Linked DNA regions of Styela clava. The protein of the gene in region 2 purifies or fractionates together with the protein of the main gene of each other region. This does not show direct contact. Links are inferred from orthologs where the notes say so. Each region holds a gene or a part of one and is shown on either strand. Other genes may lie near its edges.

Evidence for each region. Proteins that work in one complex are often made in the same cells at the same time.
Region 1: the proteins of segment polarity protein dishevelled homolog DVL-3-like (region 2) and vang-like protein 2 purify together in Drosophila melanogaster (affinity purification with western blotting; 3 studies listed by BioGRID). This does not show direct contact. The link is inferred for Styela clava from reciprocal best matches to the Drosophila melanogaster genes dsh and Vang.

Annotation. Positions count from the first base shown.
Region 1 is NC_135253.1:1,170,319-1,179,014, forward strand, and holds the start of vang-like protein 2, read left to right. Parts: upstream 1-5,086; 5' UTR 5,087-5,364; coding exon 5,365-5,411; intron 5,412-5,899; coding exon 5,900-6,000; intron 6,001-7,600; coding exon 7,601-7,692; intron 7,693-8,696.
Region 2 is NC_135256.1:5,539,431-5,548,141, reverse strand, and holds the start of segment polarity protein dishevelled homolog DVL-3-like, read right to left. Parts: upstream 3,604-8,711; 5' UTR 3,491-3,603; coding exon 3,327-3,490; intron 1-3,326.

The sequences.
Region 1 (8,696 bases), on a different chromosome or scaffold from region 2:
GTGTTTCCGGTTTTGCCGAGTGTTGGAATACCGTGTTTTTTATGTTCTTATGATTTTGCCTTGGATTCCACGTATAACTGCATTAACGGGTTAGGTGTATTCCAATTAAAGCTAAGATCTGAAGCCCGACCCGACCAGAAATTCGGGCCTGAAATGTCAATCATTACGTTCGGGTCTGGTCGGCACGACACATACTATACTAAACTCTTGTAATGACAATTCAAAGAACTCGTGAATAAAATATGAAATATCGGGCTCGGGCCTGCAAATCCAGTTAATTGGCCGGGGTCGGGTCTGGTTTAGTACTCACGGGCCTGGGTCGGGCTGGAATTTTTGGGCCCGTTCTTACCTCTAATTCCAATATATATCTGTATTTGGATTTTTTTGTGAATCTTTGCAATATACGAACATTTGGCATTCCATACATTGTGTGCTTTTTGACTCCTGAAGGAGTCCAGATCGGGGTTACGCTTCATAACGTGTGTCAATCCAATAATACGGGAGTCGAACCTGCAGATATGGCTACTCTTTCCCTATAAGCTACATGGTTTGAATAGTAAGTGGATGAAAGACAACTTTATTTTATTAATTTTATTGGACAACGTCTATTACAGTCAAAAAAGACTCGCTTTTAATGAGATCCTTGTTTCTGCTTTTTCTTGCTCAACTATGTAATATCGGGACTATATTTGAACACTTTCAGACGAGCACAAGTTTCCGAATGATCTTCCGTATGTCGGCTGCGATGGGGATAGAGAATGAACTTCATGTGCAAAAATATTTGTTCATACAAATAAGTGAACAGGCAAACTATTTATTAAAAAGTACAATGACATGTTATTCCATTTTTCATTATGTAATGCTAATTTGCCCCGGTTAAGTGCAGACATTTTTTCGCTTTCTCTTACACTTTGGATGAGTTAACAAAAATTGGATAAATACGTGTGCGTGCGCTCCAAATCACTTGGCGTGCCAAGGAAAACCCTCTCGCGTGCCATTTTGGCACGCGTTCCAGGAGTTGCCGACCCCTGGTATACAGCTATCATAGAAATAGTATACAGACGGGGTTGTTGACTGATATAGGATTGAATATTTTACATAATATTGTATTTATTATATATAAATGTGTTATTGTTTATTATTTTAAATGCTGTATGTATGAATCAATAAATTTATCTTACCTTTCTATGTCGTTTACTATCTGCTACGTAGTGTCTGCCTCCGTTGTTACGTGACAATAGAGGTAGACACTACTTGTTGCAATTTTGCAAGCTGCAGTTAAATTATCTGCCAAACCGAGTTTAGCGAACATGAGTGATTTTTTTTTTGGTATTTCAAGGGAAAATCAGGCAGAGTTGACGTTGCCTTTGTTTTTCAGACCTACATGTTTTCAAACTTTAAAAGGCAAAAAGTACGCGTTAACGATCACAAAATTCAGTTTTACTGTTATTTTTTGCGTCGTAACTTTTTTCCCTGATATTTTGGCGCGCACGAACGACCAAAAGTTTGAAGACGTAGCTAGAAGTAAAGTGTTGTTCATAAACTTTGTCCTAAGAATTATTGGAGTAGCCTAGACCTTTTTCATCGCTAATGAAAAAAAATTTAAAAAGTCATATTGACGAAAATATATTAATTTTATAGTGAAATCGGATCTGGACTAGATGATCTGCCGGCCGCTTTGAGGTTTATATATATATACAAAGATTAATGGCACAATGAATTCGATTTGTATCTGGGCATTTTAGGATATTTTGACTCGCTTGGTGTTTTATGATATTATTGCTTACGCTACTTTATTGTCAGGCTGGGGTGGGGGTGTTTACAAATTTAGAACATGATGTGAAATCTTGCAACTTTGAGAGCTTTGGATTTGCCCAGTCGCAGAAACCTATTGGTCTTGAAATTGAATAACGCTGGGCTTCAAATTCAAATTGGTATTCACATGTGGTATTTGTTCCCACCGGAAAGTTGAATAAACAGTATTAAGTCAGTTTTTAAACGGACGACAAAAGTATTTGAACAACAATACATTTCAATATTTTTTATGGTTATGAGCTGAAGACGGAGATAAATTGGAATTTCGCCAAACTTTGAGGGCGATAGTTGAATTATTGTTAAAATCATGTATGACCCAAAGTTTAGTGAAACGAATTGAGCTCAACCTATCCAAAATTAAGAAAGCGAGAACCTAAGAACGCTTTGTATGGGACCATAAACAGACGGCGTTCTGTGATATAGTAGTTGTATTTTTGACCTAGATGTGGAAATACCACTTGGACAAATCACAATTTTTACGCACATATAATCGTACACTGGCGTGTGAGCCAGTCTCTGGAAATGCCAATGCTATCACTTTTATTTGAGGGCTCAGTGAAGGAATGAATAATGAGAAGATGGAAGAATGTGTAGAGAAATCCCTGGTACACACGTATATATATATATATATATGAAATCAACAAGAAAAAAAACATTTCATTACATAATTTTTCACTAGGAACTGCTCTTTGCGACGCAATTTTCTTTTTCTGTGAGACACTGCATTCTTCGATATATGTAAAAATGTGTAAAATTTTGATAGCTGGATGGGGCAACAGGTCCGGCTATTTTTCACTTTACATCACTGTATATATTTCATGGTTATAGTTCCGTTTGTTTATACTCACCAGGTGCGCTAACGAACAGTGCCGGACAAAGATCATTTTTTCGAGTGCCGCAGCAGATGGTAATCGCTTTCATGCTGGGAAAGTCGTCGAAAGCGTCTGCGCGCGGTTATCGGATGTAAGTCTCGAGTAAATTGGTTATTTGATAAAAGCCAACACCCAGTTTAAAAAGTACGCGTTCGTCGCCTTGCATGTTAAAAGGATTCACCGATAAGAGGCTACATATAAAATTTACTAAATTAAATGTAGCTTAATCGAAATTATTTAATTTAGCGATAATAAGGTTTGAAGAAAGGTGTTAATTAGTCTGTTTGGGAAATCACTTCTCGCAGGAAAGATTGTGACTATAATTGGTTAACGTCGGCCAACTTTTCTTTTCGTGAAGCAATTTTACAAGTTTAGAACGTATAGTTAGTTTATGATTAGTTAAGCACGGTTGGATTATAGTAAGCGACATTCAGTTAACGGCGTAACCACGAAAGGTTACTTCCGTTGGTATTTCTTAAAGCTGTTAACTATATCGTCATTGAATCGGAATGCGAATTTGGCGTTGTGCAGCAATTAGTGATTGAGGTCGTTCGTTCTATATACTGACAGCCTATGGACCTCACTTTCGTAACAGCATGCGTTTTTGAAACGTGTTTTTATTTTTAGTCACATCTCGTAAAATTGTCGTTGAGCGGATATTATTACTGTATTACAGCATCAGTTTATTTTGAGCCGATATGGGAAAATTGGTTTTGAAGTGGTCAAGGCCTCTGGTATGCAAAGTTGCTTGCGAAGTTAAATTTGCCCATCCTTATATAAAACAATTATTAAATGACATTTTGCGGAAATTTTACAAAATACTTCATTTTTATATTCTTGATCGTATGATTTTTGACGGACGCCACTTCGGATAACATCAGAATATATGCTTCATAATCTTTATTCAGTCCAAGCGAGCCGGATTTGAAATTTGTTTTTCCAGTTGCCTATGTCTTTATCAGTTATTGGAAATTATAACGCCGACTCCTAAATATTTGATAGATTTGATTCTGGCGCCGGTATTTCTTATGTTAAAGCACAATGATTGGGTTTTATACTCTAATTTAGATGCACAATTGATGCTTCTTTGCCTTCGAAGTTATGGATCATTTAGTTAAAGTTACCGCTGAATTATCAGCCGAGATTTCGGAATATCATATATAGATGACCAAGCGAATGCGTGATTGATTGTTAGAATGATTTGTTAGAAAGAGGCATTGTCGCATCACATTTTAGTTAGTATTAAAATTACCGTATATTGATTTCACGCAGATTTAGCGAATGCCCATGGGATTATTTGAATCGTATTTTGTAACGCGAGTCTATTGTCTGTGTCATCGGGGAATGGCATCATAAAAATAATAAGGTAGTTATATTCTATTGTTCAGTGTTCGCACTCCCCAGCGGCTTTTGTTTGTGTTTTGTTAGTCGGCGATAGATGGCCTAATTTCGTATAAGAAGGAAACGAGCGGATTAATTCGAAGATGATCAAGCGCATCGTTTTAGAAGATTACTTTATTTGCCGAACCATTGCATTGTTTTTGAAAAGCGATCAAAACTTTTAATGATTTTCAGACGATGCCGCCAATGGATGCTCATTTTAGCTCGTTATTTCAATCCCGTAAGCACCCTACCAATATGAGAAGCTTCTCCTGCTCAATTTGCCACTTTGCGATAAGAATAGAAAAGAATATAAAACACTAACAACGCAACGTGATAAATTCATTCCTCTACCTTGTAAATTTCCAACATTTTTTCGGGGATGGGGTTAATTAGCCTGTTTATATGTGAAAATCTTGGCATTTAACGAGCTTTATTTAAAACCGCATGGCCCGGGATTTTCAAATCTTCTGATGGTATTGTTCGTTTTTGGTCGCAAATTTGAACAGGTTTACTAGCGTATTTATCAATGCTCGATTTATAATTCATTGTAAACGTTAGGGTACTTATTTCTTATCCCTTCTCGAGAGTGCCATTCATACGTTGTTAATATTTAACCATCCAAGAAAAAGTCGCACGCTTGTGTTATTTTGCGTCAGGCGTTATCTATCAGTTTGGACATCGTTTTTAATGTGGCGTGTTTACGCATGGTCGTTTATTGATAAAAGATGAGTCACAGTAGCCAGCCATATCAAGTCTTTTGTCGGCGGAGTTCCCACCTGGATGGGTCATTTATAATCAGTGTGATTTTGTAATCAGTTGTTTACAATGGATGTGTGTTACTGTTGGACCTGCAAGGTTTCTGATACTTTTTAAGCATTGTCTTTGGCCGTGTCAAAAAAGTGTAAATGTAATAATATGAATCATCAGGTTAATATAGTATTATATTATATATCCACTTTTAACTGGAGGTTGTAGTAGATACTCACATCATAAATGAAATTTCATCCCGTTTTTACATTTCTACCCAAAAGCATAGTTTTTCAGTTTAGTACATAGTTTCCCAATATTACAATTATTCCAGGTGAGGTGCCTGTTGAAAACTCGAAAATCCATATCTTCTGGGCAAAATATTGCAGTGGTGTCACAACAGGTCTACTGTAAGTTTCACATGTGGATCTGGTAGATATCACTACGACTTGCTGCCGATGTGTCTGATATTTTTATTCTGAGATTTATTGTGGATTATATATTCAAGCAGCTGTGTATTTGAAGGATTTATCCAAACATAAGAAAAATGGATCCTACTGATAATGAATCAAATTACTCAGAGCTGACAAACAGGTAATAGTTTATTGTAATTTGTAACTGTCGGAATTATCTTGATATTTAAACAAATTCAGTATTTTTTTATGTACTATAGCGAAAGTCATATGCATAGGCATAAGTGTGTTTTGTGGAGAATTTAAAATAAAAATGTGATTTGGGGATTTAGTCCACATATTATTGTAATGAATAAGGTACTCCCGTAGTATGTGTACCAGGTTAGGGTTAGGCCATAATTTCATTCTGATTTTCCCTATTTTAGTTATATTACGAGTTCGTGGACTATCTGTATTAGCCAAGTGAATATCCCCCTGCCCATAGGTTTCAGTCCCTTTATACAATTCAATGTAAAATAGGTGAACAAAATTAGTTATCTCCATATTGGTACACACACTTCTGGAGCGCCATAAAAAATCCTTGTCAAGGTTTCTAAGGTTAATTTGTGGCCTAGTTTGTGGGGCTCAATTTGTAGCAGACATTTATAGTTTTATACATCTAAATTTTAGATCTGAAAGATCAAAACATCGAAGACATCGTTCTCCTCATGATCGTTCTAACAAAAGACACAGGAGTCGAGGTAGCAACCACGAGCTTGATGACAGTGGAGGTTTGTGTGATGACACAGGTGGCAACTGACATGGCAAATAACATGCGAGCATGATGTCGTTTTGTTATTTTAATTTGAATAATTTCCCAATATCAATAAAAATATTTAATAACCTGAATAATTCTGCACGTCAATGCTTCTCATGGTAATACAGTCAATTTTGTTTTTGTTGACTATAATCCATAAAAATGAGGTTCTCATTTAAGATCTTTTCAACTAGAAACTATCTATTAATAGTTAGTTATCTGAATTGTTCACTTCAGTTACACCATTCAGTGACATACCCAAGAGCCAAAGTTTAGTTTTTCCATGCTTGGAACTCATATATACAGTAGTTAAATTGGATGGTTGCATAGTTTTCACAAGACACACACCTTTTGCATAGATGATTGACTAGTAGAATTTTTGAGCAAAATAAATAGTATAAATTCTAGGAAACTTGCATGTACCTATATTATTATAAAATAATATAATAAAGCTTTATTAACCCATGTTATGTCTTGACTTGAGAAAAGTAATACTGACATATAATTTTGAAAGAATGCTAGAGTTAAGAATAAAACTGATATTTTATTTTCCGAAATTACTTTATAGTGATTTACTGTTAGATGTCGAGTGACTTTTAAGCTGTCTGTTTATCCAATGCAACTTAAAATTAGGTTATTGCACAAATATAACATCATATTTTCAATAACTCAATCGTAATTCTTATAATATTTTGCACAAACTTGAATAATCAGACTCACAAAATATTGTATCACTCAAATATTACCTCAACGCGTTACAATAGTGGCATGTATGTCAATTTCCATTCAAAATGGAATAAGTTTCAAAAGCTTTGAATGTCTCATAAGTTGAAACCCATCAATATGCATTATTTGATTGTTTGTCAGGAATTTGACAATGGCATGTCATTGATTCGTAAATTCACGATTTAAATTTTTTTTCAAATCTCAAATAAAATATGCTTTGGGTGAAAAATATATGAACTATTTTCCCACTATATTATGAAGCTTATTGAATTGTATTATGATATTGAGGTATCAAATACAAAGAACCCATTGTCAGTTTGCATTTGTGCCACACACCAATCTCACAATGTCATGGTTTGTTTATTTGATTTGATTTTTTACAATGTGCACATGTTTTCCAATTTTATTTAGTCATAATTAAGGTAAAATCTTCCACTGCATTATGCATACAGAATTTATTGAACATTGCATGTTATTATATAAATTCACTTTCATTTGATCTCATGCTATGTATTATGATCAATTGGTGATCTTTATCAAGAAATCTTGAATCTCAACCTGTATAATTGGACAATTTGGACCTTTTAATATGTTTCATTATAATATGAGGTATGTAATGAATAACATAAACTAAAAATCTTATTTTTGTTATGCTTGGTTGTGCCAATCTGAATATTACTGTTTTAGTCATCAAAATCTCGATACAACAAAGTTATATTATAGAAAACTATCACTAATGGAATTTGCTCTTGGCTGTTTTCTAATGCTATTAAGAGCCACAAATCGGTTTAATTATGGTGCGGCTTAAGGAAATTGGCACTTAATTTACAACAATTTTACTCAAACAGGAGAAAAGATAGTCACAATTCGAACACCACCGCTAGACACTAGTCGCAATGAAAACAACAGATCAGAAGATGTTCATGTTGACATGCCTCAGGTATAGTATATTTTAATCTGAAGACGCATGTTTATTAATTATCACTCAAACAACATGAATGAATGGATAACATAGATTCTCCAACTGATGTCGGAAGGCTTTTTATTAGATATGATACAAACTTAGACCCTAAATTTGTGTTTGTTTCCATTCAACTAGAAATACCCCAATCAAATATACAAGTGAGTCTTACTTGTAATTATGAAATATGGGATGAAAACAAGTTTGCTACACTTCACCTTTGTATAGTCACCAATTATTATTATCTTTAATTCTGATTGCTGCAAAATTCAATACTGGCATAAGACATCTACCTAGTTGTTTTCTGTGGTTTGGACAGATTAGTATAAAATTTTCTGCAGTGTTTATTGCGGATGGGGTTTTGAATGTTTTCAGTAGGGTTAAATTTTGGTATTTGGATATGAAACAAAGTCTGGGAAAATTCATGTCTAGCATATGAACCGTTCTTTTCCCAATAGTTATTGATACATCTGAAGTGGGTGTTGGACAATGTTTTCATAGAGTATAGATTGCTAACAAAGACAGGATTAGAGCAACATATAATGTAAACTTTCTTTCTGTTTCTTTGTCACCAACAATATTTCTCGTCCCCTGAGGTGAGGATATTTATTTTTCCCTTGGTGGATTATCTATTGTTCGAATCCGTTGTAATATTTCAGTTTGTACAGTGGATCGTATCCTTCCTTTTTCCGTTTAACCATATAGGTAAATGTCATCTACAAGTGATTCTACAGTTTTTCAATTCTCGCAATGTAATCATTTCTAATTACCCCCATAATGTGCACTGTGCGCTTTAGAAGTTGGGACCTGAAGTAAAAACCCTAGCTGTATCCTGTGATGCTGAAGAAAAGTTAGCACGCTAAATATGTTACATTCCTTCGATCGTAAACTATTTTGTCATTGGAGCGTCGGCTGCGATGCGTAAACTCCTGTTTGTGGTTGTAAATATAAAGTTAAACTTTTGGGTTTCACCACCCGGTTTT
Region 2 (8,711 bases):
TTGGTCGCTTGGAAGAAAGGTTGAGAACCACACCTATAGAAAAAAAGTAGCTTCCCATAACTACATCACTTATCAAATTATCCAGATTGTGGGTAAAAACCGATTAATGACAAGGCTTGGAGTATGAGGCATATGATGCCAGACAGCATAGTAACGTAACATACATACGGATTCAGAAGCAATAAATGTAAAGTATGGGGGTCATGCACAAGCAGAACAAACAAACTGTTTTTAATATTTATGTAAGTATCATACAGAACAAAAACACTAGACTATAGAAAGTATAAAATGTACATAAAATCTTAAAACTTTTTACAATTGCAAAGGGATATTGTTTGGCCCTCACAAATGTATTAAATGAAGTAAAAGTACTTGAACAATTACTGATTGAAAATCTGGTAAAGAATAAGATATATTGAGAACTGATTTGATTTCATAACAAAATTGGAATTGTAGAGGGACTTTATGGACACCCTGTATATATCATTTATTTATTATTAAACTCTTGCTTCAATAACAACCAGACGCTGGGATTTCACATTACAGATGATATTAGTAATCTCTTGGGACAGAGCGAGTGTTAAACTCTGCATTGATACAAAAATGCCACAACAAAGGGTGTCAATATTACAAAGAATATTTATAAACAGGACTAATTAAGACTGTGGCCTATGGCGCTAAAAGTTTACGAGTTGAAACATCTGCATTACTTTAACATTAGGAAAAATCAACTGACAACTTAACTGGTAAGATGCAAGATTTGGTAATGTAAGACCCATATATATATGTATGTATCACACAAATTAAACGGTTCTCAATTTACAAATCAAATTTATACCGGCAGTTCTCATTATGGGTGTCTTTAAAATACATTCAAAATGATGTTATATTTTTATTGCATTTATAGAATAAATTTTTCAAGATTTATGATATAAAAAATTATATATGACTAAATATCTGAAGTAAAAGTTGGAGACCGAGGTTCATATTCATCAATTCAATATATTCATAACTTCATCACCTAATTTAGTCAATTTTGTGTACTCCCGCAGTATGTGAACCAAGATGGCGGACCAGATTAGGGTTAGGCCATGATTTCAGGTACAAATACTACGGGAGTAACTTTGCTAGTCCCCGACTCGTAATGGAACTAAAATAAGGAAAATTGGAATAAAATTATGTCCTAACCCTAATCTGGTACACATACTATGTTCAAGTGTTCGCCATCTTGGTTCACATACTACAGGAGCGCCAATTTTTGAATACAGACACGATTGAATTGTGTCGAATTCTATTAAAAAGCCAAATCAATTCAACTTATCAATACTGTTTAAATACTTTTAGTCCACCGTGTATAGTTGCCTGTAGTGTATTGTTCAGAATGATGGATGAATAAATAAAAATTGAATAATACCCAAAATTTCAGCTACCGAAATAAAATTACAGATTTATAAAAGAGATTCATTATTAACAGTTTCAACCCATTAAATACCTTCTTATAAATTTGTGATGTTGAATGTCGATATGTGGATCAAAAATTTAAACAAAAGTAATACTTCTCTATAAGCGCGGAACATTTTCAGTTATAGATCATTATCTTATCCAATAGTCTATTGAATATTATTTGACTACGAAACTAAATAATCATAATATTTTCACAAAGCTTATTACAAAAGCTGTTTTTATAGGAGAGGAGTAAACTATATGTAAGGTTTTTATGAAAGCGTTATGCGCGTCATAATTTCAACTGGCCATTCTTTTGTCCACTAATAGGCTTCAATATTTATTCATGATATCTTTCTAGACTAATATATCTTAAGTGGGCTGGATGGTTGTCCAAAATTCAATTTAATATTATCTAGAAAATTTTGACATGAACTTTCTGGCTATACAGTCATACTATCTACTGCCCTGCAGGTCAATGAATTAGGATTTGAATTAGAAAATATTTTTAAATAATGAATAATAAGTTTATTCTTATTTCTGACCAAAACTAAAACTGATATGCGTTCTTTGAGTCGTATAAGTAAGTACATCAGAAGTTGGAATATTCTGAGGTATTTGGAATATTTAGAGAAGAACTGCCATAATGGTCAATGAATTAGGGTTTGAAGCATTTTTGAATATTAAATAATTTCACTTCTGATCAAAAATAAAACTGACATGCGTTCTTTAGGTTGTATAAGTACATTAAGAGTTAGTACAGCATACCAGTGATTTATATGTCTAAAAAAGTTATCAGTGTACGATAAATTATATTTGAGGCTCATAAGTTGATACAAAATCTGATAAATCCAATTTTTCCTTTATGTGATTCATCTTTGTATGATTTTTACTAGTCCAAGTCTTCCTAAAAAACTAAAGAAGAGTGATTACAAAAGAACATGGCCTAGCTTCTTATTTTCATTAGATTCAGAAATATAACACTTACAACAGAAAATCTGAACACATTGTCGGAAGTCGGCAACGGGCGACCCCAACAGACCACCTATCTATCAAGCATTACTTCATCAGCAAAAGTAGGTGTACAATTACAATGTGTAAACCTTAATAGGTTTGCGGTAAAAACACACAAATGAGAGAGATGGGTAATAAAACCAGACATAGAATGGATAGATTACTCAGAGGCCAAACAAACAATAACAAATGAAGCAAGGGAGAAACTGAAGAATGAGTGTTATCAACCATGCATAGGAACTTCGAGTTCAAAATAAAATCTAATATTCAAAAATCTTCCATTTTAAGAATTCAATATAAATGAAATTACTGCATTTTGGTAAATTCAGTTTTTGGGTGAAATCACAATTTGGTCAAATTTTAAATAGCTATATTAAGCATACAAGGTCATTGGAATTTGCAACTTCTTAGTAAATTTGGCGTCCCGAAAGTATGTGTACCAATATTGAGGTAACTAATTTTGTTCGCCTACTTTACATCAAGTTGTGTAAAGGACTGAAACCTATGGACAGGGAGTATATTCGCTTGGCTAACACAGACAGTCCCCGAACTTGTAATAGAACTAAAATAAGGAAAATAGGAATAAGATTATGGCTCAACCTTGACCTGGTATACACACTACGGGAGTACCTGAAGTACTGCATTTTTGGTAAAATTCAGGGTAAAATCACAATTTGATCAAATTTTATATAGCTACATTTAGCATACAATGTCTTTGTAATTTGTAACTTCTTATTTAGGCAAATTTTTAGGAATCCTAGTTGATCATTATGTAATAGTTCACATAAATACACTGATATTAGTAGATCACTGTTAACCTAAATTATTTGAACTTCTTTCAAAACAGAAAATCATAATTAAACACTTACCCAAAGTCGGCATCAGTTGATCGGAAAAAATACTTGTAATTGGGCTTGTTAATTGCCACCTTGAAGTTACCGAGTGTGATCTGCTCAGGTGGAATTGTAACTTTGCTCAAATAAGGCGTCGCTTCATCGCCAATGTAATAAACTATTTTGGTTTCTTCAGGCATGATTTAGCGTTGATTTTTATTTCACCGAGTAAAATTTGATAAAATTATCCTGTTCAGAAACTTTCTCATAGCATATATTTTGATTAGAGTTAAAATATAATATTGTTATCTGTAAAAATAGATGTTCAGAACGTTAAAAGAACATCTGAATAAGTAACCTTCAGGTAAAATATTACACATTGAAGATCTAAATTATCTATGGTAAGGCTTCATTTCATAATTATTTATCAAAAATTTCTTGCACAACAATAAACCATGCTTAAGAGAAACTACTACCTAATCAGCATATATTTTTGATCTATCTTTTATGTCTATTTCTATAGCTCACTGCAAAATAATTAGGAAATGACTCTTTTTTCAATGGAATCTCAAAATTTAAATATCCCATTAATTCAAATAATCACAAATCTTATAAAGATGAGACAAAATTTTATGAAATTGGATTTGTGGAGATCACATAAATTAGCAGACAATACATCATATTGATATCAATTTGAAGTTTAGCTGTATATTTTTAAATTGCCTACTTTTCACTTAAAAAGTTTTCAAAACATTTTTCAGAGTTTAGCAATTATAGTTTAAAATTAGTAAATTGAAGATGCAAAAATATTGAAATTAAAAAGAAAGCAAAGTCAATAAATATCAATTAATTTTATTGTAGTCTAAATCTTTTAATCCCTTCGCAGAAATTCTTGGAATATTTCCTCCTGTAATACGTTCTCTCTTGAATAAACCTTTTCATACAAAAACAGTGCCTTGGTGACCCAATCCCTATATTCAGTAAAAGAGCTCGTATTTTTATTGATACTTATCTTTTCACAAATTATTTGTGTTTTGGCAGACCATTTCACATATTCTAAATGTCCCATTAGAAGGATCATATCTCCCAAATTTATATCATTCACGTTTAACGACTGAAGCAGAGATTTCATGAAGGAAATATGTATATTGCTCTTTGAGACATCTTGTGGACTTTTGAGTTCTTGATCTTTCAAATATTTCTCAGATGCACATTTTGATATTTCTCCGACAGTATCGGTTGAAATTGGCTTTGACGATCCGAAACTATTTTTTCTTAAGATGCAATGAATCTGTCCAGTACCATCTTGAATTTCAAATCTCAGAAAATCGTCTTTCTTCTTAATCTCTGTAACAAACCCGAACACTTCCACTTTGTTAATTGGCAGCCCATGTGGATTTACAAACAGCGTTCTTGTCGCACATAACGGCTTCAGAGAATTAACTGCGCCAATGAGAAGCTTACAGTACGTGTTGAACGTTGGTATCATTGGTACACAAGAAACCGGTATTGTTGTCTCATATTCACACTTAGGATTTTCCATAATATTATATAGCTACGCTACTATATGATGCAGAAGTTAGACGATTTAAGATTGTGAAATTGAAACAAATAATAAACAATGAAACATTTGCAATAGTGGAATCAAGAAGACAATCATTTTATTAAAAATATTGAATAGTGATTATACGCTAGTTTATTTTGATACAATTGTAACAGAAACTCATCTAAATGAAGCGAGAATTATAAGCATTGGCAATGCCCTATATAAATGAGATTATTCCTGCCTATGATTTTCCATTGAAAATTAAAACATCTATTATTATACAGAGTACTATTAACGTCTATCGCCAAAACCTAAGCTTCAAAAAAGCTCTTTGCTCATTTCATCATGGCTCCAATATTTAAAGGATAAACTCTGAAAAAATAAGAAATGCCATATGAATATTTAAAAAAAAAATGAAAGTTATCATTGGTTTGAATAGCATCTAAACTTCAAAATTTATTATCAAAACTCAATTTTGAAATTTACTTCTAACTCACAGGTGAATCCAATCCCAAAATCCAGCAATTGGTTGTAAATCAAACTAAAGCATCTACGAATTACTAACGTTTTTTATTCTGAATAGTTAGTACTGATGTATACTAGAAAACTTTAAGTTACAAAATTTTTACACAGTCTTATGACGTTACAGATCATTTTTCTAATTAGGCTGATTATGGAGACGATTATAAATTAGTGAATTAAAATTTTTTTTTAATTTATACACTGTCAGACTGTTAAAATTTATAATATTTACCGTACATCTTGAATTGTCTACATTGATACTCACTCAAATGATGCTTTAATCTATAAATTCAAACTGGTTTATGAGCTACATTTTATTAGCACCACATTAAGCAATAGCACTGTCTTTTTTTGCCAAATAAATTCCTTTGCCACAACGGAATTATTGTATCGAGAATTCAGAAGCCAATAGCTGCATCTGCATGGTGATGCGGTGGCTTACCCAATGCGATGGCGTTTAGCTGTTAGGTCCTCTCATGTTCAAAAACTATGAGGCTGATTAGATCGCCTAATACTCGATAAGAATTGTTAAATATGCTAATGAATACTTAAATACCGCCGAATTTACAAATACTAAAGCATTTTATTATCCTACCTTAAGTACTGTGGGCCTACCTTTATGTAGTTTTCAGTACCGAACAATCACAACCGTTCCACCGGGGGCGCTACTGTGCACCACGAAAAAAAGCTGAAAAAATTTAGCACCTTATTTCATATTTATTTTTCTTAGCACGGAAATAATTTCGATATTACCTCATATTTCTCGAATTCACATTTGGGTTTTTTTAAAATATAAATCATCTGATGCCTTCCCTAGATATCGCGCATAACCATATACCACTTCTTTTATGAGGCGTTTTCATGTCTTTACTCCGAACAAATTTTTGTCCAAGCAATGAATAATTCGTACAGAATGGTGTTGAAATCTTCCTTCTTCAGAATAACCTACCCAATTCATTAAAGTCTGGATCAGGTAGTGAATATTTAAACCTAAAATCTTTAACCTGCGACGTCAATATAGTTTAGTACAGCGCTTCAGCCACTACTTCAGACACTAAGCAATCACGCCCATTCGCCGGATGAGAACAGAAGGGGCCTAAGTCACATTTTTGCAAAATTCACTTCTTTCAATATTTGGGGGTTTTGAGCCATGCTCTACAAGGTGGTGGTCTTGAAATTCTGAATTTATCAATAATAAAATTTCTAGCTGAACTTAGGACTGTAGAAGTTAAGAACACAAGTCCAGTGGGCCTGAGTCCAGCTAAAATTTTCAATATTATGAAAATTCAGAATTTTAAGACCACCACCTTGTAGAGCATGGCTCAAAACCCCAAATTACTGAAAAAAGATAGACCTAAGTTCCAATACGATGGGCATGAACATCAGGAATAAAATGTCCGAAACTTACATCCCTAAAAATTTCTTCAGTGCAACTTAGGCCTAAGTCACCTTGTTTTACCTTGCATCCCATACAAAAAAATTCAGAAGTTGTTGAGAACAGAATGGGCCATGTCTGGATGCAAAATTAACATGAGCAAATGCCAAGCTTTGTACCTGGGGGGAAACAATCATTGCCAAAATTGTTCTATGAAAGATCGAGGACTTGAGTGGAACCCAAAAGATTTTAAATTGTTGGGTATTTTTATATATGAAAATGATGCTGACCTTTATACTGTGAATATTTTGCCAAAACTCCAGAAAATGAAAATGATTGCACAATTATGGTCAAAAAAAAATCTTGATTTCCTTGGAAAAATTACTGTAATTAAATCCCTAATTTTTGTGGGGTTCAAAATGGGAGAGAATAAAACGTAACACGTTAATTGCACCTATAGGGGGAGGGGGGGGGGGGGTTAATATGATAGATATTGAATCATTTTTCATTGGTCTTAAATTAAGATGGGTTAAATTTTTAGTAAATGATGAATTTGATGCTTCGTGGAAATCTATAGAAATTTTTTTCCTAAATTTATATGGAGGAATGAATTTGTTCTATGGAAATGTATATCCATTTGGAATATTTATTAAAAACATTAAGTCGAGATGTTTAAGAGATACTCTATACTATTGGCATATTTTTAAATCTAAAGTTGTTACTGATGTAAGTCACTTGCATGAACCACTGTGGTTCAATAAAAAGATATCAAGTAAAGGGAAAATGTTATATATTGAAGATTGGAATAGAAAAAGTATTTGTTTTATTGAAGATATCTGTGATTCAAAACACAAAATTGCAATGTTTCCAATCATTTTTCATCATTATTGCTTTTCTGATTTTTATAATGACATGCAATCATATTTAAAAGTTTTATCATGTATACCCCAAGCATGGAAAAACAATTTAGTAAAAACCCCTCAAGCCAATCCACATCTTAGTCTATTGGAAGATATTAGAAGCATCGATAAAACTTCCAGATACATATATGACAAGCTTCGTAATGTAAAAATCTTGATGCCTAAGGAGAAAATAGAAAAATGGCCAAATGAACTGTGCAAGAACTTGGATAATTGGTTGACGCAGTATGAAAAAGTTTTTTATTGCACTATTGAATCGAGACTTCGATCTTTCCATGTTAAATTTGCTTTGCGAGCAGTACCTACAAATGACCTATTATTTAGGATAAATAAGACATCAAGTCCGAAATGTACATTTTGTGAAAGGAATGTTGAAACCGTGTTACATTTATTTTATTTCTGTGAATTTGTGCAACAATTTTGGGAAATAGTTAATGCATGGCTAACTGTTGAATATGGTTTAAATCTTAATCTGACATATAGAGAAATTTTAATGGGGGTAGAGCAAAACCAAGGTATAAACTGTGTTTTATTGAGTGCAAGATATTATATCTATAAATGTAAACTACGTAATGAAAGGCCTCAATTTGATCAATTTTTATATATGATAAAAAGTATATTTAACTGTGAAAAAATTTTTGCAACTAGAAAATGTAAACTGTCGAACCACATTAAGAAGTGGAAAGTTATCATGAACTCATTTTTTTAAAAGTGCAATTGTGTTTATGTGTTATATCGTGTGGATAAAAAGTGATGTTTTTATTAATAAAAAAAAATAAAATAAAAAAAAATAAAAAAAAAAAAAAAAAAAGAATGGGCCAAAGTCCATTATGGGGTTAAAAAAGCAGGAAGGAATTAAAGCTGAAGTGCCAAAAAATATTGATTACATAGATATTCACATCCACATTAAAATAACCAGAACTCAGGTCTCTACTAAGTGTGAATATCTAGAAATTCAAAAATAAAAAAATTCCAAATTGATTTTGCGTTTTTCTCAAGACTCAAAATTGTGACTTAGGCCTGTTCTGTTCTCATCCGGCGAATTATATTTTGGATGT